Ovis aries: one gene and its partner. The protein of the gene in region 2 binds, or shares a complex with, the protein of the main gene of each other region. Links are inferred from orthologs where the notes say so. Each region holds a gene or a part of one and is shown on either strand. Other genes may lie near its edges.

Region 1 (16,344 bases), on a different chromosome or scaffold from region 2:
ACCAGGTTTTCTTGGTGCTTCCTCTGGTGGGTTATTAAGAAACTGAAATGAAATATGCAAAATTCTGTTACTGTTTAAAACACTTAGTAATTTTCTTTCTCTTTCTTTTAGGTTGTGGACCTACCTCAATAGCTTTTGCAGCTTGTTCTTTTGTTTCAAATTCCACGAAGGCAAATCCCTTTGGGTCCCCAGTAGACTTATAATGTGGTATACTTATATAAACAACATTGCCACATTTCCCAAATACTCTCTCAATCCAGCTGTGGTTAACATTTTTGGGAAGTAGTTCCTATGATAAATTAGTAATAATAAAGTGTTAAAAACAACTGAAAATAAAGCTTTATTTAAATTGAATACTACAATGTTTCTGTTGAGACAACAGTTCCGAGCTTTTCCTGAAAAATGGCTTACCACATACACAGTCCGCTCATCCTCATCCTTTGGTCTTTCACCCAGTGGCTTTTTCCTCCTGATTCTGGTGCCTTCTAAATCCAGCTTTAAAACAGTACATAAAGTCAATACTAATTAACAGTATCATGTGACACGTAATATATGTAACGATTCTTACCTCTACAACAGCAGAACTTTTTAGTGCTCTGGCTATTAACTTTCCATCTGTGGTCAATTTTTTCATTTTGTTGAATGACACAAGAAGTGATATATCAACATCTAATGAAAACATAAGTTTAAAAAAGATTCAAAAACATTTTCAACTGTGTACATTGTACATTATATGCAGCATATATGGATTAGAAATAGATACAGCTCTTAAAACTGGTATAATACACTGAAGGAAACTTACATCCATCTCTAGATTTTTCTATCTGCTCTCGAAGAAATCTATCCTTGTGGAGATTTGCATCTCCAAACCAGAAGTCCACTTGCTTCACAATATCTGCAAGCACCTGTTTAACTCTAGACCGTTTCTTTTTCTCCACTTCTTTTTTCTTTTCTATGCTTTCTTCCATTGCCTTTTCTTTATTTCCACTTTCAGTTTCCATTTCTGTCAAATAGGAAGAAAAGGTAAATATTAAGTATAATTAGTGACCAAAAAATAATTTATCCTTTATCTGAAGGGAAATGGGCTCAAATATCTCTACCAGGGAAACATTTTCACTATTAGCTGCGGAAACATTGATTTTGCCTGTTTCTTATAAAATTTATCTCTTATGTTAACAGCATTTTTTCATACATTCTAGTATAGAATGATATACTGACATGTTCATTTCACAACCTCCAATGAGAGAAAAACACTTTATTTTTAAAAATGTTCTTTACTTGCTGACAAGACTGCAAAGTTCTGGACAGACAACTATCTCCCTGTCTTCTCTACTGTACTTAAAACCTTACTAATTTATTATCCTAAAGAATTATTTCTTTATTTTGCTCCCTGGTACATTCCCATTTCCTGGTATATAGTAATACAAAAATCTGTTGAATGGTGTCATCTTAGCTGATACACTAAACTTAAATACACACAAAAATGAGTAAGCAAAGAATTAACAGGGGGCCTGGGGTGATACTAAGACAAATGGCAAGTTTCATCTGTCTTCTCTGGCACACTGGGGTGGGAGATGCTATTAGTTGGTATGCATGCAGGCCTTGAGGCTGTGACCAGCATGATAGAATAGATTGGTGGGCTTTTGGGCATCAAGGTGATGAAAACACCGTACTAGTCTTAGATAAGGGCAGGGGGGTAAGCCGTGAATGTGGGTTAATTGCTGTATTTTGGGAAGACTGGGACTAGGTCTCCAGATGAGATGAAGATTCTGCCCCTACTCTATCTTCTGTCTTATATCCTTTAAAGCTCAGTAAACAGTTATTAGATAAAAGTCTATTTGTGTCTCCTGAGTCTGACTGTCAGCTATAATCTGAAAGTGCAGCAGGGATGCTGCAGATAGAAACAGATTTTGTTTCAAAGTGACATTCAGGAGGAGGGTACCAAGCCATGAATGCATTTCACTTCAAACCTCCAACTAAATGTGCATTCTCATCAAAGGAAGAGTATTTTGGCATTTTTAAAACAGGCTTCTGTTGATCAGGTAACTACTAATTTCTAAAACAGGTAATTATTTAGATGATGCTAGCCTAACTCATAAAATGGAAGTACATGCCAAAATTAATCATTAGAAAAACAATCAGGTGCTACATAACCATTTATTTCTCATCTCCCACTCTCACTTCAACCCATCCTGTCAGGCTTTCCTTTCCATCATTCTAATGAAACTGAAAACTAGGATCCCCACTATCTACCAGGCCTCTCAGGAGCATTTGCAGTTGCTAACTCCCTCACAAAACATTTTCCTCATTTGGCTTCCATGAGTTGTCTTCTCCATTTCCTTTTCTGGACCCTCTGACTCTGCTCTGCCTTTCCATGATGCCCAGGACTGAATGCAGTCAGTCCTGGGCTCCCTTATCTACACACATGTCGTTCCAGAGGGCCTCTGGCGTTAAGCTCCATGGCTCTCTATGCTGATGTTTCACAAACCTGTCCACTCCCGACTTACCCCATTACCTCCCCATTCCAACACGCAAATACCCACCTGACCTCTTCACTTATTCATCTGAAGCATATCTCAAGCTTAAATTGAACTCTCAAATTTTAGCAAACCACGTTTTTTTCCTAGTTTTTCCCGTCTCGGAAAATACCAGTGAAAACTGCTGAGAGGGCACAAACACTGAAATCCTTAATTTCTTCCTCACACCCCACAGCCAATTCATTAGCATTTCTGTTAGCTCTAGCTTTTCAAAATTCGTATGACTCCTCATTTCTTCCATCACAACCACCTGCTCCAAGCTATCACGGGTACCTTGCCTGCAGTTCAAACACATCCTCACATTTACTTGCTTCTACTCCTCTTCCATTGTCAATTCTCCAGATAGCAGTCAGAGTGATCATTTAAATATATAAATAAAATGTCAATTTCTTGAACAAAATCCTCCAAAGGTTTCTTATCCCAGTCAGAATAAAATAAAAAATCCTTATTGTGGCCTATAGGTCCTATTACATCTGGCCTGGGGATTTCGCTCTAACTTCGTCACTTGCAACTTCTTTCAGGGTGCTCATTACAACCTCAACACACCATCGTTCTGTTCCTTGAACAGTCTAATGCATTCCCATTCCACGGCTTTTGCTCCTGCTGTTTCCCAGGTTTCCTGTCACATCTGCAGGGATTACTTCCTTGTTCACCCAGGCCTCTGCAAATGTCACTTTCTCAAAGAGGCTTTCTCTTTCACCAAATCTAAAATATCCCTTCCCTGCCAACCATAACCCTACCCTCCCTCACTCACCACTTTCTATACTTATATGCTCTTATTCCTGCCTGGAATTATAATTTTATTGCCTGCTTCATTATAATATAAACACTAAGAAGGCAGAGACTTCAGCTTGATCACAACCTTGGCATTTATTGTCTAGTTAAGTAATATAACTAACAGCATCTAATAAATTGTCAAGTATTGAGCATTTCAAGTTATTTTGTAAGGGGGTAGAATTATAAACAAAATACAAATGTAGGCTATGATCGTCACTACAGAATTCACTACTAACTCTTTCATCTGAAAAATCTATAAAGGGCAGATTACCACTTCTCCTGGTGGCTCAGAGGTTAAAGCATCTGCCTGGAATGCAGGAGACCCGGGTTCGATCCCTGGGTCGGCAAGATCCCCTGGAGAAGGAAATGGCAACCCACTCCAGCACTCTTGCCTGGAGAATCCCATGGAGGGAGGACCCTGATAAGCTACAGTCCATGGGGTTGCAAAGAGTTGGACAACACTGAGCGACTTCACACACACACTACTTCTCCATTTGTTTTCATCGTCAAAGCCACCATCTAAGGAGATAGTGGACAAAACTGCATAAACACAGAAAGCCACAAATCTCCCAGAAATCAGACTTTTCCCAGCATTCTCTTCTCAGCCCTGATACTCTCCTTCCTTTCCCATATATAAATATATATATATATATATTTTGCGGCCTGGAGAATTAAGTTCAGAAAATCTTGCCCCATGTGAATAACACTCTGCAACTTTCAATCTTAAAAATCTGTGGAGAATCAAATATACCTTCATTTTCGAGTACAGATATGGATTAGATTAAACAGGAATTAAGCTATGGTACAAGTTCTCTTTGCTACACATTGGTTGCAGAAGATCAGGAAGTTACATGATAGTCATAGTTTACTTTTTCAATGTCCTATGATAACAAATAGGTATACTGTCATTCCATACATTCCAAATCAAAGTTCTTATCTTTCTTAGCAATGTCTGTTCTGCTGTTCTCACCACCCTCATTTTCTTTAAGGATGACATATTCTACTTAGTTAACCAGTCGAGCTATTTACTAGCTGTATGGATTTGGGGCAAGTTAACTCAACTTTCTACGATCTACAAAGTGGAATAAAATTTATACTGACATACTAGGGTTGTTTTAAAAATTAACCAAAATGGATAAAGCACTTTCCATTGCTGCTATACAGCACACAGTCAACAATATCTAACTGTTATTTATTATCATTTTATCATTTACCAATCTGTCATTAATCCCTATCAATGTAACCTTTGGAATGGCTCTTATCTTCATCCAGTGTTTTCCACAACTACTGTTATAATAATACGGAAATTGTTTATAAATTGTTTGAGAAGTCCTCCATCCTTCACAGAAGCTGTGTAACTTGTCTAAACACAGGTCTAATTTTGTGACTCTAATGCTAAAACTTTCAACAATAATAATTCTTTAGCATCTTTTGGTAACACAGCATATATTTTTAAAAAATTGTTAAATGAATCAACTAGTTTCATAGGGTTTAAACAAAGAATAAAAGTTACTGTGTAACACCAGTTACTTTACACACCTTGTTTTAAATCCTCATAATCCCTCTAGGTTATTTCTCTTAACTTTTTACAAAGGCTCAAAGGTTAAGTGACCTGGCTAAAGCTAGCTAGGTAAGTAAGCTCAGGTATGTTTAACTTTCACACTGCCTAAGTTTTAGTAGAACCTCTTGCAACCTCTTACCATGTAGTCTACGTTTTGACTCAGAAATCCTTTTTTTAAATTGTTAAATTTTTTTTTTTTTTACAATGTTGTGTTGGTTTCTGCTGTACAACAACGCGAATCAGCCATCTGTGTGTTCGTGCTAAGTCGCTTCAGCAGTGTCTGAGTCTTTGTGATCCCATGGACTGCAGCCATCCAGGCTCCTCTCTGTCCAAGGAATTCTCCAGGCAAGAATACTGGAGTGGGTTGCCATGCCCTCCTCCAGGGGATCTTCCTGACTCAGGGATCTAACATTGCATCTTACATCGCCTGCAATGGGAGGCAAGATTTTTTTAACAGTAGCGCCACCATCAGTCATAAATATACATATATACCCTCACTCTTGAGCCTCCCTCCCCTTTCTCCATCCCACTCCTCTAGGTCATCACAGAGCACCAGACTGGGCTCCCTGTGTCATACAGCAACTTCTCACCAGCTATCCATTTTACACACGGTAGTGTGTATCTGTTGATGCTACCTTCTCCATTCATTCACTCTCTCCCTCCCCACCCCGGCTGTGTCCACAAGTCCATCTCTCCTGGCTCAGAAATTCTTAACCTGAAATCCATGGAATTTGGGATGGATTTCAAAAATTATTGTAAATCCCACGAAATTTTCAAAGGTAAATTTTAAAGGTGAAACCATGACTTTTCTACGTTTATAAAATGAACTCGTCAATCATTTTATTTAAGTAATTAACCAGGGAACTAGTTAAGTGCTAAAAACCAGTTCAAAGGTGAACTCAAAAACTAGACAAGCGCAAATACAAGCAAGCAAAAATATTGAAATGAACTTGTTAACAGATGTAACACTAATCAGGGCAATAACTCTTAAGACTTATTTCAATTATAACTTACATAATTGTAACATAGCTCAATGACAATGAAAAGCAGAGGTAAGCTGGAAAAGTAAGCTAGACACCTCTTTTTTTTTGGCTATTTCAACGTCTTTCACAATTTTTCTTTAAAAGGTTATAGAAAATATTTAGAGATGTATATGTATTTTCCTGGGAGGCTCATCCATATCTTTTAAATCACGTTTTAAAAGGAAATGGTGTGTCAAAAAGGTTAAGAGAACTATAGTTCTAGTCACATCTGACTATCCAGCGTTGCCTACTTTCTTGTCTCTGTGCCTCTGCTTTAAAAGCTTCTTGTCTTCCTTGTCTTATCAAGTCCTATTCAATTTTCAAGGCCCAGGTTAAACGGCATCTTACTCTTTCTAGCTTTCTGCTAGCACATTTCCCCTAAACAACCGCCTCATCTGTTTCCCTTTTAAGTATGTCTATTAACGCACTCAATAATACACTGTATTTTTTCTTCCTTCCATAACTGGATGTTCAGCTCTCTGAATGACAGAGACAAAAGTTCTGAAAAAGGAAATGACTTAATTTAAAAATACAAGTCCACATTCGCTATCGTTTGGCCACCAAAACTCGAATCTGCGAAGAAAAGCAATTCCCCTTTTGACTACTGCCCCTTTAGGTACCCGTCCTTCCTCAAGGAAGCCGTCAGACGCGGGACTACCCCAAACCTCCCAAAACCGGGCGGCAAGCGCCCCCAATCACTAGAAAACTGGAACTGCAAGGGCTGCCGGAGGACTCTTGCGCGTGCGCACAGAGAACCAGGACACTAGGGCAATCTAACTGATGGGTTGGTGGGAGGGGGCGGGATGAGAAGGACCAGAGATGACAGAAAGGACCGGCATAGAAAAAGACTGAGAGTAATTTAGATCTCACCCAACCTGGGCTTCCCTAGAGTCCACTTAGAACTTACTCTGTCCAATTCCCAAAATACAGCGCCAGAGACTGCGTTCTTCAGTCCTTCGCGTCCCCCGAACCTTATAGTCGTGGTTATTTTAGCGTCACATGAGCGACAATTCTTCCGAACGCCTTGGAAAAGATGGGCCCAGAGGTTGTGCGACCGACATTTACGTCACTGGCGTAGGCCCGCTCAGCGTGGGGGCGGGACATCGGAGAACGCAGTCGCCACAGAGGCTAGCAGCCAAAGAGGAACTTGATTGGCAGTTTGAAAACGGCCATTCAGGTCCGGAGCCGTGGTGGGCGGGCTAAATAGTGGGGTTGGATCTGGTGCGGTCGCGAGTTGATGATGTCACGGCTTTTCGCGGGAGAAGTTCGAAAGTGGGTTTTGTGCAATGAGCAAGTTAAAAGAGCTGTTTCCACTCGGGAGTTTCTGGGGATTGAGGGTAGATAGGCTGGAGTTTTGAGCTCGAGGTGCTGTCACTGATTTTGATGCGACGGGCGAAGGAGTTTGCTCCGCCAGACGGGGTTCGGTAACGAAACTGTGTGGAGATAAGGTTGGTTCACGGCTTGGCGCAGCAACCTGTAAATAATTAGTGCTTCGTCTTTACCACCTTCCCCCAACTCCTGCTGGGCAGTTCCGGTATCCGTGTGAGAACCCGGGATGGTTTTGCTGTTTATTTTTAGGACTGACAAAGGGTCCCTTCTTCATTGTCATCTGGTTACACAAGCTAGTGATAATTAGAACGTTGGCAAATGAAATGTGAGCATCTTTTGGTTGTCTGGACTGGACCGTTTCTTAAAAGGCTATTGGGCTCGTGATTCTTAAATTTTTAAATCTGTGAACCACTTAGGGATTCGAAAGATCCTGCTTGTTCCAAAAGAAAAGGACCAAAAACATCTCATCGTACTTAGCAAGAACAGGTCATATTTTAGTGATAACACCGAATTTTATACATAAATCTAAAAAACAGCACAATAATGTGTGTGAAGATATGTATGTATTTCTGTACTAAATTATCGCAAAACATTTAATCTCTCCCTTTTTTTTGAAGTGTAATTCTTTAATCTACCACTTAACAAGAGTTAGGACCGTCTCAATACCTTTTACATCGCAAATCCCTCAAGTAATATTTCTAATTTAGGAAAACAATGGGGGAATTTATTTTGCAGTTGGTAAACAGCATATAAGTAATCCTAAAGAAGTAAATACTGGATTTCTAACCTGTAAATTGTGATGGTAATAACAACTTTTAGGACTATGAGACTGATAAATATTATATGTAAAGAATCCAGTCCCATTCTTGCCTGTTACAGTAGGTTTTCCATAGTCACATAATGTAGTTTTTGTGAATGGGAACACCAGAATTTAGACTACTTAGTTTTAAATTCTGAATCTGCCATTTATTTACTTCATGAGCTTAGGCAAATTACATACTGATGTACCTCACTTCCTGTTTTTGTAAAATGAATATAAAAAGTAGTATCTGTACTATAAGGTGTAAAATTTAAAGCATTTTAACAGTGTTCTAGCATATAATTTACACTGAATAAATAATAACTGTTATTAAAGGGATCTAATGTTAACTGCTACATGCCAAGCATTGTGTTGACACTATGTAGTCTTATCTACATATATTTGATGTCTAACCCATTCAGTGGCTAGAAGCAAGTTGCTGTTCAACCAGCAGTCAACTATGTGTTTCTTTGGACCTCTGTTATCTTCTTGGCATTCACTAGGCATCTGTCAATCCTGTTAGCTGGAGGGGAGGGATTAGGATATGGAGTTATATTTCTGAAAGGCAGTGCCTCTGTAGGTCTGGCCCTGTGCTGTGAACTATATCATGGGACAAGCATTCATTTCTCATTTGTGTACCGTTTGCCCTGCCCTTTCTCCATTTAGCAGCCAGAGCAATCTTGGTAAAACCCAAGTCAGATTATGTTAACGTATTCTTGAAATTCTGCCTTGGCCTCCTACTGTCTTTTTAAAAAGTCCGAACAACTTAGCATAAAATAGAATGCCCTTCGCATCCTGTTATTGCTCACTTTTTCAGACTTATCTCTCACAACTCACTATCTTACACTTGATTATAAACTAGAGTTCCTTGATTATGCCTTCCACAGCTTTTTTGTACGTGTTATTCTTATTTGGAAATACCCTCCTTGGGATTTTTCCTTGGTTAATGATTATTTCGGTTCACAGTATATGCATTATGTCTTTCAGGAAACCTTGTTTGATGCCCTAGACTGAGTTGGGTGTCCCTCCAGTGCTTTTCCTTCCATATTTTTTGTAATTACTGTTTATTACCCTGCTATACTGAAATTCCTTGAGACTAGGAGTAGTAGTTTGTTCATTTTAGTATCTTGGCCTAGCGCTATGTACACACAATACATAGCACACAGTAAGTACTAAATATATGTTATTTATAAATAACATGTAGGTGGTCTATTTTTTGTACATTTTATACATATAAAGGATGAATTTAATCCAGAATTGCAAATTATTGCTTTATTGAATACCTGTAGGTTTCAAACTTGAGTGTGTATCACTGCACCTGCAGTGCGTTTTAAATTACAGGTACTGGACCCCAATGCCAGCCTTTATGATTTAATAGCTCAAGACTCAAGAATTTGAATTTCTAACTAGCTCCCAGGTGTTGCTAATGCTATTGGCCCAGGGATCTAAGGCAGTGGTTAAAAATAATAATACTTTTCTTCGGCATCTCTGTTTACTTCAGTTCATTGTCAGTGATATTAGATTTCCAGATTTGCCCACAATAATAGTTTTATCCAATAGCATGGGATAAATATAGTACTCATTGCAATTATATTGAAAAAGTTTTTCCTTGGAGAGTGTATTATAATGTATATTTGGTTTTAGATACTATGTTACATTGACTTTGAAAAGGTAAAAGGAAAAATTTGAAATGCAAGGGGGCCATCTTGTGGTGATCGTAGCAATTCAGAGAATTTTAAAATTGAAGCTCTTAGAGAAACCAAGCTTCTGGGGCGGGGAGAGAATCCATTTTCTGATATATATTATGGCACCTGGAAAAATGTCTGCAGCCTACTCATCTGTGGGTTGGTTTTTTTTCTTTTGGCTTACCCTGGAAGCTTGTGGAATCTTTGTTCCCTGACCAGTGATTGATGCCAGCCCTTTGCAGTGAAAGCACAGAGTGCAAACCACTGGACTGCCAGGGAATTCCCTACATGTGTGTTTCCCTTGGTGATTACATAGTCTCAACACTTAAATACCCCTCTCTGGTCAAGAGTTGGTGGGGAAAAATTGTAGTTGATACTTATTCTGTTCATCAGGGTTGAATATTTGTCTTTTTTCATTTTAGGTGCTATAAATAGTTGAATGACTACTGATTATTTTCTGCACCTGAACCTAATTTCAGAAGAAGTAATGGAAAGCCAAGAATTTATTGTAAGTCTTATTTGTTTTCACTGTTTCCTTTTTCCTTCCTTCCTTTCATGTTTCACAAATGATTTGCCAGATTTAGCTAAAAAACCTAAAATAAATTTTTTAAAAACCCCAAACCTGGGACTTTCCTGGTGATCCAATGGCTAAGACTCCTTGCTCCCAAAGCAAGGAGTCCAGGTTCGATCCCTAGTCAGGGAAACAGATCCCACGTGTTGCAGTGAAAAGCTCACATGCCACAGTGAAGGATTCTGCATGCCACAGTGAGGACAGAAGACCCCACATGCTGCAACTAAGACCTAGTGCAACCAAAGAAAAACGAAAAACAAAAACCCAAACCTAAAATAGGACACTCTGTTAAACTTGAATTTCAGATAAACAGTGAATAATTTTTTAGTGTGAGTATGCATCTCTGAAATATTGCCCTGTATTCTGTCTGGCAACCCTAGAGTTCACATTGGTCGTGTCCGATTCTTGGTGACCCGATGGACTGTAGCCTACCAGGCTCCTCTGTCCATGGGATTTTCCGGGCAATAGTGCTGGAATGGATTGCCATTTCCTTCTCCAGTCACATTGGTTATGCAAAGTTCTTTGGAACAAATTGTTCAGAAGCTTGGAACCAGGGCATAATTTCTTTCTCTCGAAAGACTGGCACGTCTATTCTGTCTAGATTAATGGTTCTTAACCTGTTTGGTGTCAGGGGCCTTTATACTCTCACCTCTTCTTTCTCACCTCCATTGTCTTTAATGACCAGGTTTCTTTCTTCCTTTTCTTTTTTTTTTTTAAATATCAAGAAAAACTTTAATTTCTTTCAAATGTATCCAAATACACATTGGAATTGGAATATTATAAAAGTGGGAGTTTAGAGGAGACACATGATTTAATAAACTGTATGGCAACGACTAGGTAGCCATCTAGAAGGCTCTAAGTTGGATCCATACATCATATATGCATACACGTGCGCACGCTCAGTCACGTCCGACTCTTTGAGACCCCACAGACTGCAGCCCACCAGGCTCCTCTGTCGGTGGGATTTCCCAGGCAAGAATACTGGAGTGGGTTGCCATTTCCGTCTCCTCTTCCTTTTCTTTTAAATTGATGTTTCATTGTTATGATATCTGTGCTTTAATTTTAATAAACAAAAGATCCTTGTGATGTCTTACATATTTTTTGTATAAAGGAAGGGTATAAAAATACATATAACATTTAATACGTATAAGTAGAAACCATTTCTTTCCTTTATGCTTTTGGAAATAAGGTACTATATACTCATCAAAAGATGAAGAAGTCAAAAGTGTGGCAAGATGGAATTCTGAAGATCACTCACTTAGGAAACAAAGTAAGTGCAAAACAGTGGACTAAGGAGTCTAAAAGTTGGGTTCTTTTGATTTAATATTAAGAAGAGTCTGTAGATAAAACCTTAGATATATCCGTAAGCTGATATGATGTGAAAACAGAAGTTGTCAAATTATTCCTATATCACAGTGATTAATTTGTGAATTATAAAAGTCAGTTAATACTATTTAATTTCCTTTGATTTTTAAAAAAATCAGATTTTATATGAAACTTTTTAGGAATTTTGGCTTTTTTTTTTCATTGCAGTAGTAAGAGTTTAACTATACCAAAAAACTACTATAAAATATATTTATAACACAATAATGCTCACAGTGTAATGGTACCTATAGAGTGACATATTTTAGAAAAGCTGCCAATTTCTGAAATTATGTGTAGGATTCTTTTCTTCTGTTTTTGATTTTCTTCATTATTTTCTGATATCCTATCAAGTTTTGAGAGAACTATTTACTAGGATAAATCTTTGACCCTACTACATATAGTTATCCTTCTATGGGTTTCTTTTCCCACCCTGATTATCATTATCTTCATCTGTCAAATTTAAATGTTCTACTCTTATCCGTTCTCATGACCTTATTTAATACCCTTGTCTCCTCATTCATCATATGACCTCTTCTTCATTTGACTTCTGTGACACCACACTCCCCTAATGTTGCTTACTGTCCACTTCTAAGTATTTTCTGCTGGCTAATTGTCTTTTCATGATTAAAATTTTTACTCAGGACTCAGGCCTTCATGCTTTTGTAGAGATATATAAAGATACATAAATTATCTCTTTCTCTATGGAGGAAAGGTAGATTTATTGGAAGGAATTGTGTAGTGTGATTGTGGAGGCTGACAAGTTGCAACATTTGTAGTTGGCAAGCTGGAGACCCATGAGAACTAATAATGTGGTTTTAGTGTTTATGCCAACAGGCCTGACACCCAAGAATAGCCATTATTTCAGTTTGAGTTATAAGTTAGGAAAAAACGGATGTCTCAGTTCAGAGACAGGCAAGGGTTTTCTCTTACTTGGCCTTTTTGTTCTCTGTAGGCCTTCCACTGAAGGGATGAGGGACAGCAGTCTACTGTAGTCATTTATTTTATTGAGGTATATTTCTGACATGTCATTATTATGGTTTCAAGCATACAACTTGATGATTTGATATGTGTATACATTGCAGAATGATCACAGTAAGTCTATTTCCCATCCATCACCATCCATAGTTAGAAAAATTCTTTTTCTTTTCCTTGTGATGAGGACTTTTAAGATTTACTCTGAACAATAAACAATTGTTGTTTTTTAGTTGCTGAGTTGTGTCTTTTTGTGATCCCATGGACTGTAGCCTTCCAGGCTCCTCTGTCTATGGGATTTTCCAGGCAAGAATACTGGAGTGGGTTGCCATTTCCTTCTCCAGGGGATCTTCTCGACCCAGGGTTTGAACCTATATCTATTGTGTATTTTGTACTTCCCAGGTGGCTCAGTGGCAAAGAATCCGCCTGCCAATGCCGGAGATGTGGGTTCTATTGTTTCTCTTAATATTACCAAATTTAAAAGAAGAACTTTATTACAGATGAGTTGATAACATTGGACACGTTGGCAAGATTGTATCCTCCTGAATGAAGCCAGCTGTTAAAGATCTCCATATTCCCTCCTTTAATACATTTCTATCACTCTGAAATTATCAGTAAAAGACACTTTTTAATATAGAAAGACTACTTGTAAGAAAACAAACCTCTTAAGGAGGTACCAGGCACATTTAAAACATGCAGTGAATAGTAACTACTGTTATAGATTTTGTCTTCAAGGGACTTTTATCTAATTTTTATCTAAGAGCCTAATAATTAAAGTATGTACAGAGATACGCTTAAGGTTTTATGAGATTATAAATGAGAGATGTTAAAATTTGACTCTGGTTCAAAGAAATCTTTCTGGATGAAGAGTATTCTTTTGAGTATTTGTTTCATTTTGTAAACAAAGTTGATAGGATTGAGGGAAGGAAGCCAGGATGGTGTTGAGGCTGTAACAATGTGGAGGTGTAGCACAGTGTGAAACACTCCTGGGAACTAGAAACAATTGACTGTGGCTGGAATAAGGGTCCATGTTGGAAAACTGTAGAAGATACAGCTAAAGACGTGGGCAGGAGGCGTATTATAAAGGACTTTGTGTGCTCAGTCTGAGGTGCCAGTGAAGATTTAGGAGCAGAAGAATGATGTAATTGTTTCTGTTTTTAGAAAGATCCCTTTGGCAGCTATGTCTAATATACCTTTTAAGTGACGTAGGTTGAAAGATTGGATTTAGAAAGACTTATAACAAAGAGGTTGTAGAATAATATAGACAAAACATAATGGGGCTCTGCCCATGCAGGCGTTAGCATTGACAATGGAGAGAAATGGTAATAGAGAGAAACTGAAAATACAGAATCTGAAGGTCTTGGATATGAAGGAGAGGAGAATCCAGAGGGACTTTTAGGTTTGTGTATTATGCTTATGGTGCTGAGTAAGATAGGATCTCTGAAAAAGAAAAGCACATTTAGAGGGAACAATGAAAATTCTGGGTTTTCATTTTGAAACTGTTTCATCGATTAGGCTAAAGCCTTTGACTGTATGGATCATAACAAACTGTGGAAAGCTCTTAAAGAGATGGGAATACAGACCGTCTTACCTGTCTCCTGAGAAACCTGTTTGCAGGTCAAGAAGCAACAGTTAGAACCCAGTATGGGACAACTGATTGATTCAAGATTGAGGAAGGAGTACGACAGGGCTGTCTGCTGTTACCCTGTTTATTTAATCTACACGCTGAGCACATCATGAGAAATGCCGGGCTGGAGGAGTTACAGGCTGGAATTAAGGCAGGCGGGAGAAACAGCAACAACCTCAGATATGTGGATGATACCGTTCTAATGGCAGAAAGCGAAGAGGAACTAAAGAGCCTCTTGATGAGGGCGAAGGAGGAGAGTGAAAGACTTGGCTTAAAACTATTAAAAAAACTAAGATCATGGCATCCAGCCTCATTACCGCATGGCAAATAGAAGGGGAAAAGGTGGAAATAGTGACAGGTTTTCTCTTCTTGGGCTTCAAAATCACTGCAGATGGTGACTGCAGCCATGAAATCAGAAGATGATTGCCTTTCGGCAGGAAAGCTATGACAAACCTAGACAACGTGGAAAAGCAGAGACATTACTCTGCTGACAAAAGTCCTTATAGTCAAGGCTGTGGTCTTCCCAGTGGCCACATAAAATTGTACGGTTGTGAGAGCTGGACCGTAAAGACAGAGCACCAAAGAATTGATGCTTTCGAACTGAGGTGCTGGAGAAGACTCCTGAAAGTACCCTGGACAGCAAGGAGGTCAAATCAGTTAGGGAAATCAACCCTGAATACTCGTTGGAAGGGCTTATGCTAAAGCTCCAGTATTTTGGTTACCTGATGCAAACAGTTGACTCATTGGAAGAGTCCCTGATGCTGGGAAGATTGAAAGCAGAAGGAGAAGAGGGTGTCAGAGGATGAGATGGCTGGATGGCATCACTGATGCAATGGACATGAACTTGGCAAACTTCGAGAGATGGTGAGGGACAGGGAGGCCTGGCTTGGTGCAGTCCATGGGTTCGCAAAGAGTCACACATGACTGAGCGACTGAACAGTGAGCAGCATGGCTAGAGAGCTAGAGAGACACAGGAGAAAGCCAGAAAATGATCATCACCTTAGTTTCCTTTTTCTCCCATATCCTGCACATTCAGTAAGTGTTACTTTTTATGCCTCAAACAATTGTCTTATCCCATTGCTGAGGACTTATTTCAAGTTCTAATCATTTCCTTGATCCTTCATATCACAGCATTACAATAAGCTCTTTACTGATACTGTTTCCTGATTTGCCTCCTGTAACTTATTCCAATTTGGTTTTCTCTCCAGTTTCATTCTAAGATTCTCCTGGTAGGGATTAATTTCTTGAATTTATGAGTATGCCTTTGCTTTTTTACACACACTGAATGGATGATTAGTAAACATTTGAGATAGATGCACTTTCTAATCCAAGTTTACAAAGTGGGTAATCCTTTAAGACATGATTTATTTATATAACAACTTTTCATTTGCTTTGAAGATATTTAAGAAAAGTAGAATTATGTTGTATCCTTTTTTTTAAGCATTGTTAATATTTGTTTTGTTTTAATATAGGCAATTTTATATGATGACAAAGGAGGATGTTTGGAGAGTTTATTTCTTAAGTGCCCTGAGGTATTTTAATATATCTTATATTTAAGCGGTTGTTAAAAAATCTTTTACTTCCTTTGTGACTATTGTTAAATAGTATGGTAATGGCACTAATGTTAGTAATTATAGATAGTATTTATTGAACATTTATTATTAGCTAGACTCTGCTAAAGGCTTTTAGATATTTTTAATCTTTATTCAGCCCTGTGATTTTTATAGACTAAGAGTATAGTACTGAAAGATTAAATAATTTGCCCATGTTTATAGAGTTAAAGTGGTAAGGCTAGGATTTGAGCTAAGAAAGTTATTCTAACTCTATTATGTGGTTTTGATAATCAGAGAACTGCAGTGGGATATATTTTGTGAAATTGTTCTTATTTGAAATATTTTCTCAAATAGTCATGTTTTTTCTCTGGAGAAGGAAGAAAAGGGAACCAAAAGAATATTTTAGTATAAAGAATAAGGACAGTAGAAGTTATTTGTTCTGGATTTATTTCCCACTTTCACACACTTCCTAGCTAACCTCACCTCTCTGTGTTCACCCTATCCACTATAAAATGAGGACCATGGACGTATTCTACTTGATTGGTC
Region 2 (16,265 bases):
CTTACTTCGCTCTGTATAATAGGCTCCAGTTTCATCCACCTCATTAGAACTGATTCAAATGCATTCTTTTAAATAGCTGAGTAATATTCCATTGTGTGTATGTACCACAGCTTGCTTATCTATTTGTCTACCGATGGACATCTAGGTTGCTTCCATGTCCTGGCTATTGTAAACAGTGGTGCGATGAACATTGGAGTATACTGTCTCTTTCAATTTATAGATGAATATTTTAGCGGACCTTCGAAGAGGAAAAAGTCACAAAGAGCCATTCACCCAGGCCACCACCTAGGAAGGACCCTGGCTGGAGTCAGCGAGCCACGCCCTCACTCACACTGGGTCTGGTCAGAGTAGGGAGGCGATGGAACACCCGGAGATGCCGTGGAGGCACGGAGTAGGGAGGTCCAGTGCAAGGGCGCTGGGCCGTTAATTATAGGTGTTCCACTTAGTGCCCTGGCAGGGAGGACTGACACAGTCCGGATTCCAGCAGAAGCCAGGTGGTGACGACTGGACAGGGCGAGGAGTCTGTAACTCGTTTCGAAATGGAAAGGGCCCTAATGAGGACCCGTAGGGCTTCCGCAGGTTTGCGCTCTAAATCCCTGGCCTGGGGGGCGGGGCGAGGTGGTGCAGGCGGAAGCCCGTTGGGAGCCGAGGGAGGAGGCAACGGAAATGACGCTTAGGCGCACCAATAGGGCGGGTCAGGAGTTGGTCTCCCCTCCCCCTTGGGTAAGGGCTGACGGTTTCCGGTAGCGGCGTCTGAGAGGGCGGGGGAGAAGAGGTGGCGGTTCCGTGACCCTTACTCCGCACCCCTACAGACGCCGGAAGATGATGGTCTACGACGAGTCACAGCTGGAGTCGGTGGGAGGGGGAGAGGCCGTGGCGGTCCCAGACCCACCCCCAGAACCCCGCGCTCCCGAGCCCGGAGCCCCGGTGCCGGAGCCCGGCCTGGACCTGAGCCTGAGCCTGAGCCCGCGGTCCGAGAGTCCCGGACGCGGAAGGCCCAACTGCAGCCCTGGACGGCGGAAGGGGCGGGCGGACCGGCGGGGCGGGGCCCGCAAGGGGCGGCAGGTGAGCTCGGGGAAAACTTGGCCGCCAGCTCGCTGACGAGCCCCCGGCTCACCCCTTCACCGCCCCGTTCTCTGCTCCCAGGTCCGCTTCCTCCTGGCGCCGCCTTCCCCAGTCCGGTCTGAGCCGCCGGCGGCCGCCGCCTCATCGAGCGAGAAGCCTGAGGCGCCGCAGGACTTGGGGGCGCCGGTGCAGCAGAGTAGCCTGGCCCTGAGCCTTGAGCTGCAGGCCGCAAGGGCCGCAGCCGGGGGCCAGTTCGATGCCGCGAAGGCCGTGGAAGAACAGCTGAGAAAGTCGTTCCAGACCCGCTGCGGCCTGGAGGAGAGCGTGACCGAGGGTGAGGGGGGCAGGCGGCCGGCCGGGCGCGGGAGCGGGGGTGCGCGGCGCCGCTCACCTCCGCCCCTCCTGCGGTCTCAGGGCTGAACGTGCCGCGCTCCAGGCGGCTCTTCCGAGATCTGGTGAGTCTGCAGGTGCCGGAGGAACAGGTTCTGAACGCCGCGCTGAGGGAGAAACTGGCTCTCCTGCCGCCGCAGGCCCGAGCCCCACCTCCAAAGGTGAGGCACCTGGGCTGTCTCCGCTACCGCTCCCCCCTCCCGGCCCCCAAATGCCAGAGATTCAGCTCCCCTTGTTTGTGCTCCAACAGGAGCCACCTGGCCCAGGGCCAGACATGACCATATTGTGTGATCCGGAAACATTATTTTATGAATCTCCACACCTGACCCTGGAAGGTCTGCCCCCACTCCGGCTTCAACTCCGGCCCCGCCCTTCAGAAGATACCTTCCTTATGCATCGGACACTGAGGCGATGGGAAGCGTAGACCTGGGGGCTCCCTGGATTGCTAGTTTGTATTTTTTGGTGTTGAAACTATCAGAATAAAGTGGTTTTGCTAATAAATGGGACTCTTTTTGGGAGCCTTAACATGCGGTCAAGACTCAGGTTGGAAGCGGTCAGAAAGTCGTTTTGGCCTCCTTTTAAAGAAACTTGGTAGTGATGAGAAGCAGAGCAGGCAGGTTCTTGCTAAGTCGTGTCCGACTCTGGTCCTAGAACTGCCTTCCTCTGGTTCCACTTCAACTCCATGGTTAACTCTTCCAAAGTCAGCCTGTTCCCAAAGCTTCCACAAAACAAATTTTGTCAGTGGGTTTTTTTGGGGGAAGGTAGATGGGTTCTTCAAAATTCACATTATACTCCCTTTTCCTGGCTTAGGGTTCTCTCTACAGTTAAGTGTAAATGGCAACCCACTCCAGTCGCCTTGCCTGAAAAATCTCAAGCACAGAGGAGCCTGGTAGGCTACAGTCTGGAGGGTAGCAAAGAGTGGGACACAACCGAGCACAAGTGTAGAGAGGGTTCACTGGCATTCAACAATCTTCCCAACCACTGAAAAAAGTGTTCTCTTCCGTAAGACTACAGTTTGGGCAGAGCGGAAGCCCAGGTTCTACCAGGAGCCACCATCTATGCCCCCTCAAACTACAGTGTGCCAAACACAGGTGTGGGGGCCGCTGCCCTAAACATCAAGTTTATTGTGCTGTTCTCACATTCGGAACCCAACCACCTCTCCCAGTGGGGGACAGCAGAGGGAAGGATTTTCACAGTACCTGCATGCCTCCCCACCAACATCCCCCTCTTAATCTTCAGCCCATCTATCCGTGGTCTGTTGAAACGCAGCTCAGGACAAGGGCCGAGGAGAAAAGAGTCTCTCTCCTTGGGAGAACAGGAGGAAGAGGCCAGAGAACTTGATACCCCCCAACTCCCATGCCCTAGGAAATTAGAGGGCAGCAAACAGTCCATGCCATCCAGCCCAGTGGGCTGGGGGAGAGGAAGATGATGGTTCCAGCACAGCTGGGCTTGCTGCTTAGGTGCCAGAGGTGTAGGGAAGAGGCCAGGGCAGCAACACAGGAAAAGCTTTCTCTGCAGATCCAGGAGAGCAAACTATTTTTGGAGCCAGAAAGGAAAAGACCTTGAGATACTTTCCTCTCCCCCTAGATCCTTTGGAGCAGCAGGCAGCTTCTTCACACTTTCTGTTCAGGGGGCCACTTAGTGGCTGGGGGCCTTGTGGAACAGGTACACAGGACGCTGGAAACCTGAGGGAAGAGTGTGCACTCAGTAGGGGCTGACGGGGCCTACAGACCCCAACACCGGTCTGCACCTTGCTTCGGCACTGGCCTCCCTTCCTCCCCAGATAAAAGAAGGCAGCCTTACCTCTGGAGGTGTTGTTGGGTGTGGCCACGAGCTCATAGCTGGAGAAGCCCACCTCTGGGGATGTCAGGTAGGAACTGAACTGCTCTGGCTTCAGCTGAATTCGAAAGTAGTTCTTGTAGATTCTTTCCTAGGGAGAAAGGTAAGGGACCACTTCAGCTTACTGCCTTCTTGGCTAGTGAAGGTAGGCCCACTTGGGGGCCCTTTTCACCTTCATCAGAAAGTCTCTGCTTCCTTGAGGCCTTCCTTGCCTCAGCTAAAGGAAGGACTGCCCCAGTTTCCACAGAAACCCGCACTCACTGTGAGAGTCTTTCTCCGGCCGTAGGAAGACCAAGGCTGGGGCTCCAGGACTAGGATGCCCCCAGGACGTAGGTGCCGATAAATCCGGCGAAACATGCGCTTCAGTCCCTCGTCTCCCCAGTTGAGATGCACCCACTTGGTGAGGCTGAGGCAGAGCACCACATCATACTCGGGTTTCTGGGCCTCCACCAGCTCGTCTCGATCCAGCACATAGTTACCCTGAGGGCGAGAATTGGGGGTGAGGATGAGAGATGAAAAAGAACCACCGCCCCTTCTCAACCCACTGTGCAGCCCCACTTGAGTCCTTGGCCAGGCTTCTGACACTCCTCAAAACAACTCCCAAATGGTGCCCTCTTTGAGTCTCATTTTCTTGCTCTGTATTGGTGGTAAGCCAATCAAACATAGAGGGAGCTTGAGTAATCTTAAATTGAGCAAATTATCCACAAGGCAGTCAAAGCTAAGTTCAAATTGCAGAGAAAGAATGCTGGGGTTCTCCGAGGATCCTGTCCAGTACTTATCCCCACAGGCATTTAAGCTGAGAGATTCAATGTTCTGCAAAGGGGCCCAACTCAGGTTGAAAGGGAGACCTGTGGGTTCCTTCCCTAGGAGGAACTGTCAAAGTTTCAGGCCTATTCATTTTTTCCAGAGAAATGAAGACCTCCATCTCTCAGGAAACCTTCTAGATGATTAGCTCATTACCACTCCTCTGCAAAGTCCATTCTTCTGGGTGTAACCCACACTGCCAACTCTTCCTGTAGGTGGACTAACTGAAGCATTTTATGGGGACTGATGTGCAGTCAGGGGACAGATACTTAAGACTTGGTACTCTCCTGCACGGTTTCCCATCCCACCATCTAGGGTCAGTGTGGTGATGATCTAAGGCGAAGTCGCTTGGGTTCCTGGCCACTGACAATCAACTCTGTGTGTGACACAAATGAGGTCCCTATCAACGGACAGAACATAATTAGCCAGCCACTACCCTAATCCTCCGCCCCATCCCAAGACATTGAATGTTGGACACCCATCCCTTCAGGCACCTACAGAAGGCCGGAGGACAAGTTTTCATCTGGACCACATCCCCCAGTGATTATGAGCAGCAGCCCCCAAAGGAAAGTGGATGGGTCTAGATTACAATACTGCCCAGGAGCAGAGCAAAAGGAACCTGCCCCTATCCTGGGGCTCGTCATGAGTAAGGACTCCAGGTACAGCCCCTGCCTTTCCAGGTTATAGGAGGGCAGATACACCAAAATGGAATCAATTGCAGATTCAGACCATTCTCTTGAGCACCTGGCTTCTCCAGGGAGGGGTGCATGCACAGGAACCCTCTGGGTCATAACCCTCCCTGCCATGTTCTCATTCACTCTCATCTTCATGCCTGACCCCTATTCCCAGGAGCCTGGGGACCCTCTTACCGTGACGAAGACAACGTTGTTGGGGAAGACCGCTGTGTCGGCTCCATCCAAGGGCACTTGGGGTGCAGCGATGGGACCACGGCTGGCTGTCAGCGAGGCTGGGAAGTAGCTCCTTTTTCGGATGGCTGAGGTCCCTTCCTCACTCTCTGCTCCTGGGCTCCCCTCAGAAGTCTGGGGTGGCAGACGCAGTTCTTCAGACAGGTAGTGTCGGATGTTCTGGCGGGCTGAGTGGATGAGCTGGGCATCGATATCCAGGCCCACCATGCGGGATGGGCCCCACTTACAGGCAATGCTCAGGGTCAGGTGGCCCACATTGCAGCCCAGATCGAGGACGTCCCGACCCCGAAACCACTCAGGCTTCAATACCCGAAGGCGCCCATCCTCACAGGAAGGATTGCGGTACCCATAGTACTTGCAATAATTCCCATACTGGAACTTGCACTGTTGCTTTTTGAAGGTTGCGGCAGGTAGTGGCTGGAGGTGGTGGCGCCCTCCCCCAGTCCCTCTGCCCTTTTCCTTGGAACCCTGGCCTCCACCCCGAGCTCCTGCCTCTGACTTGCTGGAAGTCCTGCGTCGTTTGCGATGTCGTGAGGAGGAAGACGGGGGTGCAGAGGTAACTGAGGCAGCTGGAGGGGCTGAAAGGGAGCCTGAGGGACCCTGGAGGGCAGATGGAAGGGGAGACACGACCTCATCCCTGCAGTTGATGGCTGTGTTGAGTTCATAGGGTTGGGGGGCGTCCCGGTTCTGGCCCCCATGCTGCTGCGTGGTGCCCTCCCCGTGGAGTGAGGAAGTGAGGGGGGCTGTGGGCAGCGCGGAGTGGCTATCATTCCCTCCCGTTGCCTGCTGCTGCTGGTGGTGGTGCTGTCCCCGGTGTCTATGCCGTTTCCGACCAGTCTTGAGTGGCGAAGCAAGGACAACTTGGGCCTCATCAGTGCAAGTATTGAGACTGAGAGGGTCTGTAATATCTTTGGGGATGAGGATCTCCACTGGATCTCGCCCCTTGGCCGGAAGCGGGGATGACTTAGGGGTCTCCGCATTGAGTGCACGGCTCACTTCCTCATCCAGGAGACTATTCAGGTTCAGGGGATCAAAGATATTGCCCCCGAGGAGGAAGTTGGAGGGTAAGACAGAGTCACAGTCCGAATTAACCCGCCTGCGTCTCTTGAAGGCCGGATGTTTGAAGCCTCCACCACCTCCCCCTACATGACAGCTATTTCTCCTCTTGCCCCCACCTCCCCCTGGGGGCCGGTGGGGCTGATAGCCATTCCGGGGTCGAGGAGGAGCAGGGGGGCCCAGTTCTGTTCCGCCTCCTCCCCGTCGCTCCTCCCCCACGTCCGGGGGAGCGGCTCGCCCGTGCGGATCCGACAAGCAGGCCTCCCCGAGTGACTGCGCCTGGGGGCCGCCCCCTCGTTGCTGCTGCTGCGACTGACCGCCTCGAGGGGTGGATGCAGCCCCGGGGCTCTCCTTGCCGGCCATAGAGGCCGGGGATCCCGCCGAGTGAGCGCGCGGGCCCGGCGCACGCTGCGTCCCGCCGCGGAGCTCCCCGGAGGCGGCCTCTCGGTGCGGTTGCACCGTGGGGCCGCCCCCTCCGCCCGACTCATCTTTGAGCGGCGGCGGTGGGGCCGGCACCAGAAACGGCTCCTTCTCCGCCGCCATCTCGATCATTTCCTCCCCTTATTCCGTTCCAGTCGAGGGCAACCAGGGGGGCACCGGGGGCTTAACCCCCCTTCCTAGACCACGCTCCCTTCCCCCCGCCTCCTTCCCCGAGTGCGCGCGCAGTGCTGCTCGTCTCCCCTGGTCTCGCGCCCAAGCACCTCCCCGGAAAGCTCGCCCCACTCGCCCGCGAGACCAAAACAAGATGCCCGCGAGACCCGAACAACTCGAGGACTCAACCGCGCGTGCGCCGACCCCTTTCTCCTCTACCACTACCGCTCCGGCGCGAGCGCGCACGGCTGGGGCGCGTTCCTCTCTCCCTGGAATCACGCATGCGCACTCCGCCACCACCCTGATTGCGCGCGCATCGGAGTACGAACCAACTTAACGGCTCCGGGAGTTTAAATACAGCCCTTCTCAGCCCGCCCCCCACCCGCAGAAGCCCACCACCCCAAACTGACACCCTACTTCCCTTCGCAGCTATGTCCGTCCCTACTGATATCCTTTTGTCTCTGCCGCGCGATCCCACCCACCGTAGGCGGGGGACGGGGAGCTGGTGTGAAAAGGTCTCCTTGACACCCGACCCTTGTTCCTGAGGAATGAGTCTCAGCGGTCTCCGCCCGGCTCTAAACCCAGCAACCTCCCCACCCCGCCTCCTTCCTCCCCCTAGCGAGCAGCGCCTGCGCACACCCTTTTGGGCTTGCGCGGGTAGATGCAGCACGTGCTGGAGATGACGCCCCGCCCTCCGTGCTAGGGGCGGGGACTGTTACGTTACTTCCTAGGGTTTGGAACACGCAACATGCGTCAGCACGATTCGGAGGGCCGTGGCTAATGGGCGGGGCGGTCCGTATGAATTATTCATGACCCAGTTGCCCCCCCCCCCCCCCGCCCCGGTGCCCACCTATTTAGAAAGGCTTCCGAGGGAGCGGAGGGGTGCACCTAAAAAGGAGAGGAGGGGAAGGAGCGGAGCATACTGACCGTCTTCCTACGAACTGTTCTCAGTATAACACGATAGATCATTTTAACTCATCCCCCCCTGGAAAACAGTCTCTGCTGAACTGGAAAAAGAAAAAAAAAGCACTAAAACAGGCGATGTTGTCTTAACTTCCTCTTCCCCCTAAACAGCCGAGTCGTTCTCTCGCTCCCCGATCGCGATCACCTGGGGACACCACGCCCTCTCCGCCTCCACACCCACCTCCCGCACCAATGCCTCCGCCCACCACCCGACGCCAGCGCACGAGCCCCCCCAGCCCGGAGACAAGCTATCCGACGCCCACTACAGCTGCCAATAGCAGTACACCCAGCACCGCCGCCCCCCCCGCCCCCCACTCCGTACACAGGCTTTCCCGAGCACACGCTGCGGCTCCGAGCCGCCTTATATAAAAACGAATGTGGGCGAGGAAGAGATTTCGGTCCGCTTTGGGGGCTCCCTGCCTTAGCCTATGGGGAGGAAGCTACTGGACAGCCTTTCCACTGGGTGTTTGTTTGGTGGCTTGATTTCCTTGCCAACAGCGCTTGGGGTGCGGGTCCTGTGGCTGAGAAAAGGGTGGAAGAGGCGAGAATGGGGTTAAGGATAGATCTCAAATAAAATAACAAAATAAGGGGATGAAGGATACTAAGAAGAATGCGAATGAGGGCACGAAAAGAGGACGGAAAAGGCAGTCTGGGGCAGAGAAAGAAGTCAGTAAAAGGAAGATGTGCGTCTTGAAACATCAGGCGCTACGGCTGCCACCTAAAAAAAAAAAAGCGAGGCCAACGGGGATTATGGGATTTGTAGTTTTATAGGGTATTCGGTTGGAAGATGGCGGCGATGACTGCTGCGCAAAGGCAGAAACGGCCTCCAATTGCGCATGCGCATTAGCCCTGCGAGCACGCCGCCGGAGGAGGTGGAGCTTGCGAGTGGCCTCGCGCCTATCCTTGTTGGCGGGAAAACTGGTTGGAGGTTCGCGCGGCTGGTGGAGTCGCTGCAGTAACTCTGTCTGCTCCTCACCCTTAGAGCCTCTACGCACCAGAAGGTAGTTGGTGTTTTTCCGCTTGCACCTGAAGGTTCTAGGCTTGGCCAGTCTTGGCACCTGTCGCCTGAGGAAAAGTTTTCTCCTCAGGGTGATGGCTAGCTCTTATCCCTCTCCTCAGAATCTCTAGCCGCAGACTTGCTCCAAAGAGAAAACCAGAACTAAGTCAGTATTACGGTGCGCGATGTCGAGCTGAGCGAGAATGAGGATCCTGGTGTCTCCTCGTGTTGAGGGTGGGAATGGGGAGGGGGAGCTGAGGGGAAATTGTCTCATGGAGGGTGTTTCTTGATGGTGAGGAGAGGTTAGAGAGCCACTGTTTTACCCTTAGAGGAGTCATGGACTTCTGGCTCTGTGGTACCTCCGGTCTGAATTGCTGTGCTTTTAAGAGAGAATTGGTGAGGAAAGAGGAAAAATGTGGGTGTCTCCAAGTTCTTCCCTCTGGTTTGAAAAGTGAGATTAGGCCTTTTATTGTTCCAAATCTGAGCACTCTGTGAGGGGAAATGGTGCAGTGGTCTGGGAGTTCATGGGCATGGCCCCTTGGAAAGCAACACAGAATGGCTAGTTTGAGGTTGGCATTATTCCGGGCACCTGTGGAAGCTTTTCAGCGGTTAGATAGAAAGGGTCTGAACCAAGATCAGGGTACTAAAGAGTCTGTCTTGGTGATAATTGACCATGTCTCTCTGCTTCCTTGCACTCTCTGAACTTAAAGCTTTAGTCACCATTAATTTGAAGATTCCGTAAAAGGTTTTACTTAAAGTAGTTACGACAGTAAATGTCTTGTTTCATTGATAAGTCGTGTCAGACTCTTTTGCAACCCCATGAACTGTAGTCTGCCAGGATTTCCCCGGCAAGGATACTGGAGTGGGTTGCCATTTCCATTTCCAGGGGATCTTCCCGACCCTGGGATCAACTCACCTCACCTGCATTGGCAGGTGGGTTCTTTACCACTGAGCCACCAGGGAAGCCCCAAATGTCTTGTTAGGCAGCCTAGTATGGGTAATAAGGGTAGCTGGGATCAGTTTTTTTCCTTCTGTCTTGTTAAAAGTTTAGAATCATGCTTGCTGAGCGCACATGAGAGAAGGAAGGTGGAAAGAACAAACTTATTGATGGAGGCATGAAAATGAGAAGAAATCTACGTACCATTAGACATTAAGACAAAAAGAAATCAAACTCCAGCTTAAAGGAGAGTTAAAATATAGTCTTTATCTTATTTATTTATTGTTTTTTGGAGAGTTATATTTTATTTGGTGGACATTCTGAGGAACTCAAGCCTGGGAGGCAGCATCTTAGGTAACCCTGAGAAAAGTGCTTCCTCTGAAAATATAATCTTTATTTATTTTACAATATATATATTTACTTGTTTTGATCATTGCCTAACTACTCCCACTAGAATGTCAGCTCAGTGAGAATAGAAATTTGATCTTTTTTCCTTCTCAAAATATAGTTTTTAAATACAATTTTTTGAGGCTCACAGAGTCTGTGTTAGAGGGCAATTCTAAAGGGCTTATTTTTGTTCTCTTAGACCAAGGATTCCAGGGACAATATAAAGAGGGAGTAACTGGATCCTTGGGAGAAATTTGTGAACACATTCCGAGTGGAAGGAGGAGGATTAAGGCTTTTTGAAAAATACTGACAAGACTGAAGTAAGTTACTTAGCTAAGTCAGCTCTCAAACATTTTGGTCTGGGAATCCCTTTATTTTTAAATTAAATTTACTTATTTATTTGTGTCTGTTCTGGATCTCCATTGCTGCTCAGGCTTTTCGCTAGTAGTGGTGAGCAGGGGCTACTCTCTAGTTGTGTGTGGGCTTCTCACCGTGATGGCTTCTCTTGTTGTGGAGCAGAGGCTCCATAGTTGTGGTGCAAATGCTTAGTTGGTCTTCAGCATTTGGGATCTTCCAGGATCAAGGATTGAACCTTAGTCTCCTGCATTGGTGGGCAGATTCTTTACCATTGAGCCACCAGGAAAGCACTGGAATCCTTTTTATTTAAGTTATGTTTTAAAAGGTTTTTTTGGTGGTTGTTGTTTGCCTGCACGGGGTCTTGGTTTCTGCACGTGGGCTTTCTCTAGTTGGGGCAGCAGGAACTGCTCTCCGGTTGCCGTGCATGTGCTTCTCTTTGCGGTGGCTTTGTGTTGCAGAACGTGGGCTCTAGGGCACATGGGCTTCAGTAGTTGTAGCTCTTGGCCTCTAGAGCATGTGCTCAGTAGCTGTGGTGTATGGGCTTAGCTGTCCCACAGCATGCATGCAGGTCAGGGATCTTCCCTGACCAGGGATCAATCCTGTGTCCTCTGCATTGGCAAGCAGATTCTTACCCACTGGACCTCTAGAGAAGTCCTCTGAGAATCCTTTTATACTCTTAAAATTTTTGAAGGACTCCAAAGATTGGTTTATATCTCTTTACCTGTGCATTGATACTTAAGTATTAGAAATTAAACTGAGAAAAATTAATCAATTTATTAATTTAAAAATGATGATAGTAAACCATTTGCATAATGTTAGTGTAGATAACACTTAAATGAAAATATAATTTCCTAAGTGAAAGAAAATTTAATATGAAGAATGGTGTTATTTTACATTTCTGCAAATCTCATGTCTGGCTTAATAGAAAACAGCTGGATTTTCATCTGTTTCTGAATTCAGTGTGTTTTGATATCTTGTTTTGGTTGAAGAATATGAGAAAATCTAACACAGATAAGTAGTTGGAGATCTGCTGAGCTAGGTGATTTCATCTTCTAATCAGTGTGATGATTTTTGGTGTTCTAAATGAAAGAAAAGTATCTTTTGGAACACCTCATTCACCTTCCCTTGGGTCCCTTTATTACTTCTAAGTCATTTCCCCCTCCTTATTTGCCTTTCTTTCTTATGTCAGTTGAGGAGTTAGGATCTGGTTATGGAAGTTCTTTTACTTTGACATTTAAATTTGAAGCTTTATTGGATTTTTTTCCCAATATTTTTCATCTAAAGTAAGAAAAGAGAAACTAAAATCTCAAATGTTATTCCTGGGTTTAGAGCCCCCAGTCATTTTGTAGCTAACCAGGTAAAAGTTGGTGGTATTTTGTATATTTATTAACTATCTTTAAATTTGTCTTTCTCTCTCTGAAATGAATTTCAGTATTCGTTACTGTGGAAGAAAATACTTCATCTGAAACAGAGGAGCAGAAATTTGTCAGACAGTGACTTCCAAACTTTCTCTTCTCTATTGATCAGAATAGAGATTTTCTTTAAAAGTAATGTTCTTCATCACACCCTCACTCTGCATGCATGCTCAATCGTGTCTGACTCTTTGGGACCCTATGGACTGTACCCTGGCAGGCTTCTCAGTCTATGGAATTATCTGGGCAAGAACACTAGAATGGGTTGCCATTTTCTTCTCCAAGGGATCTTCCTGATCCAGGGATCGAACCCACATCTCCTTTTTCTCCTGCATTGCAGGCAGATTCTTTACTGTTTGAGCCATAAGGGAAGCTTATACATTTACTGCTGCTGCTGCTGCTGCTGCTGCTGCTGCTGCTGCTAAGTCACTTCAGTCGTATCCGACTCTGTGCGACCCTGACCCTGGGATTCTCCAGGCAAGAATGCTGGAGTGGGTTGCCATTTCCTTCTCCAATGCATGAAAGTGAAGTCGCCCAGTCCTGTCCGACTCTTAGCGACCCCATGGTCTGCAGCCTACCAGGATCCTCCATCCATGGGATTTTCCAGCCAAGAGTACTGGAGTGGGGTGCCATTGCTATACATTTACTACATCTTATTAACTTAACAGTGATCCACAATTTTATCTAGTTGGTTGGGGCTTCAGTAACACACTTTGGCCTAGAGAGGTCAGTATAGGTTTAGATAATGATTTAAACTTAACTCGGAAAAATTTTGCCTCTTGAGGTTGATCAAAATACTCTTTTTAAAATTTTATTTTAAAAATAGAGTTTAAAAGTCACTTTGAAATGGCAGTCTATGTATAAAATACCAGAGTTACACAAGACGCTACAGTAGAGAGCTCGTTTCCACTCTCAGCTACCTGTTTCCTCTCCACTGAGACATTTTTGTCAATTTCTTGTGTATTCTTCCAGAGATAGTTAAAGGATACTCAAACATATTGTATAGATGAAAATTTTTTAAAAATCAAATTTTGTCATCTCAAGTACACTAAATTCATTTTGCTTTCCTCGTTCAGTACAGTTTTGTAATTCTGATTATCTTCATAGGGACTTCTCATGGTCATTTTTGGAATTTTAGAGTCTGGGAGAAGATATGTTTGTCATTTATTATTATTATTATTCCCTTTGTGGCCTAATTTTATACAGTTTGTACCTTCTATTTAGGGTTATCATAAAGAAAGAGACCAGTTTGCTGTAGTGATTCTCCCCCAATTTCCTACTTGCTTTTTCTTTCATTGTCAAATAAGTTTGGGAGTTGGTGGTGAAACATTAAAATGGAAACCGTGATAAAATGTGCTTCTTAAATTGGGCTTTCCTGGTGGCTCAGATGGTAAAGAATCTGCCTGCAATGCAGGAGACCCGGGTTCGATCCCTGAGTTGGGAAGATCCCCTGGAGGAGGGCATGGCAACCCACCCCAGGATTCTTGCCTAGAGAATTTCATGGACAGAGGAGCCTGACGGGCTATGGTCCATGGGGTCACAAATAGTGGGACACAACTGAGCAACTAATACACACTAGACGAGTATAAACGGAAAGGAATTACTGCAAACCAGCACATATCAATTATTTGCGTTTATGGAATTAAGTATTTTTCTTAAAATACCAAAAAATTTAAAAAAGACATTATATTCAGCCATGCTGTGGCCACACTAAGTCAAGTCCCCAGTAACTTTTGAATTCATCTTGGAATCTGGAGGGTGGAATCCTACACCCTGAACAACTGAGTGTTTACGTTGGCCATTTGAGGGTCATAAAATTTTCAGCCCCTTTAGAGAGAAAAATATACGAACCCAAAGATCCATTTTATGCAACTTTTGGATCTCTCTCTTTTTTATTACTACTTATTCATTTTCTTTGTTTCTTTGTCTTTGTTGTCTCTAGTGTAATGAGCGGGGGCTACTCTCTAGATGTGGTGCACAGGCTTCTCATTGTAGCGGCTTTTCTTGTTGCAGAGCACAGGCTCAAGGTGCCGGGGCTGCAGTAGTTGCAGCGCGTGGGCTCAGCGGCCGTAGCGCCCGTGCTCTGGAGCACAGGCACGATAGTCCTGGCACCTGGGCTTAATCGCTCCATGGCATGTGGGATCTTCCCAGGTAAGGGATTAAACTGATTTCTCCTGCATTGGCAGGCAGATTCTTTACCACTGTGCCACCTGGGAAACCTCTTGGATCTCTTTATAGTGGGAGGTAGCAGAGTTAAAGGATTGAGTTTCAGGTCCAAGGCCTTCAAAGTACTCAAAATCAACAGCCAGAAATCAGATCACTGAGAAGAATAGATATGTTATTAGAATTTAGAAGCCAGAGACCTGGATTCATCTTACTCTACCATGTATTAACACTGAGGTTTTGGCAGACCACAGCTGGGTAGAAATAATATCAGTAGTGGAAAGTGAGACTGGAAAATGTATAAATTCTTGGAACATCATAAGATGAGTCTTGGCACCGTGCTGGGTCACAAATGACATACAGCTAGAGATATTAATCTCTTCAGCCTTTGGTGTGGCTGGAGGCCTCCCTCTCTCATTCCTCGGTTGTCTATAGCTGTGAGCAGAGTACTAGAACACTGTTTCAGTGTTTACTTTTAGTGTATGCTTTACCTGTGTGCTGTGATGTTAAAATGGGTGTGAAGCACTGAACTGCTGAACTAGACTCCTGGGATGTACTATAGCGCAGTTCATGATGCAAACATAGATCAGACAGATTCTAATCCTGATTTTACCATTTATCAGCTACTTAATATCTCTGACTCCCTCTCAGTGCCAATTTCCCCAAGTGTAAAATGGCATCAATCTCAGATTTATTGGGAGAATTAAATGAGATGACATATTCAAAGATTATAGTCGGTGCCCGATAAATGTATTTATTATTAGTCACAATTTTGGTAGCAGTAATGAAACATACTGATGTTGTATAGAACATATCTGAGTAGATAGCTACAGATAAACTATGGATATAGAATGAATATGCTAGATTCTTATTACTAGCTTCTCTGGAGACCTCTGTGTTCAGTCACTAAGTTGTGTTTGACTTTTTGTGACCCCCATGGACTGCAGCATGCGAGGCCTCCCTGTCTTTCACTATCTCCCGGAGTTTGGTCAAATTCATGTCCATTGAGTCAGTGATGCTATCCAAATATCTCATCCTCTGCCACCTCTTCTCCTTTTGCCTTCAACTTTCCCAGCATCAGTCTTTTCCAGTGAGTTCGCTCTTCACATCAAGTGGCCAAAGTATTGGTGCTTCAGCATCAGTCCTTCCAATGAATATTCAGGGTGGGTTTCCTTTAGGATTGACTGGTTAGATCTCTTGCTGTCCAAGGGACTCTCAAGAGTCTTCTCCAACACCACAGTTCAAAAACATCTGCTGGTTACTAAATATTTCTGAGCCAGAAAATTAATAATTTTCTGAATAAAAATTATTAATACAAGAATCTAGCACATTGGGAAATTTATTGGACTAGAAGATCTAAGTAAAAGAAAGATAATACATTATAGTGATGTTAAAAAGGGGGTTCTCTATGCGTAGGGATGTCTGAAATAGGTAAGTGAGTCTATAGTGTATTTGTTTTGAGTATTTAGAAGAACCTTGTGAAAGGTTATTGCTCTGAAAAAAAAATCTCACTGTTTAACTCCAGGACTGTCTACACTCTAATGCACTACTCTACTGCTACTTTTATTTTTAGCTGTTAAAAACACATCTTGTTTTAATAAGAGGCACCAAATGGGGTTGCTTATGCTAAGCCCCCTATCACTAAACCAAGACAATTTAATTACAGTTTTGACTCTCAGAAATGGAATCTTAAACCAGGCAGTCAGGAATTGCCTGATCAGCACTAGTTGGGTAATCTGCCTGATAGACCCTTAAAGGAAAGTAACCTTGTATAACCAATTTGCTTTTTTCTTTTACTTTCTTTCTTTTTTTTTGCCTAGTATTACATCTGTGTTCCTTATCTCTTCTGCCTGTAAAAGTGTTTAATTTTGTATAGCTCCTTGGAGCTCCTATCCATCTGGTAGATTCGATGCTGCCCAATTCATGAGTTGTTGAATAAAGCCAATAAGATCCTCAAAATTTACTCAGTTGAATTTTGTGTGTGTGTGGTTTTTTTTTTTTTTTTTAACAAATCACTACCACTATCTTTTCCACCTACCTATAAGTGCCTACCTCATGTTGGACATAGTTCTGAACACTTAAAACACTAAGGATTGTTGCTAATCTTTAAAACAACTTTCATTATCCTCCAGCATTTAATTGGCACTGCCCAGGAGTATGATTGTAGTCAATAAGGCAGAAAATGTAGGCTAGGCATCCTAGGCAAAGAGACCCTGAACCCAAGAAGGCAAGAAGAGGAGAAAGTTTAAAACCATGTTTGATCAGTACTCTGTGTGTGTGTGTGTGTGTGTGTGTGTATATAACTGAACCACTTTGCTGTGTAGCAGAAATTAACATTATAAATCAACTATGCTTCAATAAATAAATTTTGTTCATCA

The links.
Region 1: MEPCE (region 2) and LARP7 share a complex: the UniProt entries of both Homo sapiens proteins name them as parts of the 7SK RNP complex. The link is inferred for Ovis aries from reciprocal best matches to the Homo sapiens genes MEPCE and LARP7.

The regions. Positions count from the first base shown.
Region 1 is NC_056059.1:13,383,924-13,400,267, forward strand, and holds the start of LARP7 (la-related protein 7), read right to left. Parts: upstream 6,961-16,344; 5' UTR 6,805-6,960; intron 1,004-6,804; 5' UTR 1,002-1,003; coding exon 803-1,001; intron 670-802; coding exon 569-669; intron 496-568; coding exon 412-495; intron 290-411; coding exon 125-289; intron 43-124; coding exon 1-42. Other genes in the region: protein ZGRF1, read left to right, coding at 10,150-10,218, 11,471-11,551, 15,718-15,777. UniProt on the Homo sapiens protein: RNA-binding protein that specifically binds distinct small nuclear RNA (snRNAs) and regulates their processing and function.
Region 2 is NC_056077.1:36,537,828-36,554,092, forward strand, and holds MEPCE (7SK snRNA methylphosphate capping enzyme), read right to left. Parts: upstream 7,222-16,265; 5' UTR 6,633-7,221; coding exon 4,968-6,632; intron 3,775-4,967; coding exon 3,556-3,774; intron 3,386-3,555; coding exon 3,259-3,385; intron 3,141-3,258; coding exon 3,094-3,140; 3' UTR 2,548-3,093; downstream 1-2,547. Other genes in the region: PPP1R35 (protein phosphatase 1 regulatory subunit 35), read left to right, coding at 823-1,065, 1,147-1,399, 1,480-1,616, 1,706-1,879. UniProt on the Homo sapiens protein: S-adenosyl-L-methionine-dependent methyltransferase that adds a methylphosphate cap at the 5'-end of 7SK snRNA (7SK RNA), leading to stabilize it.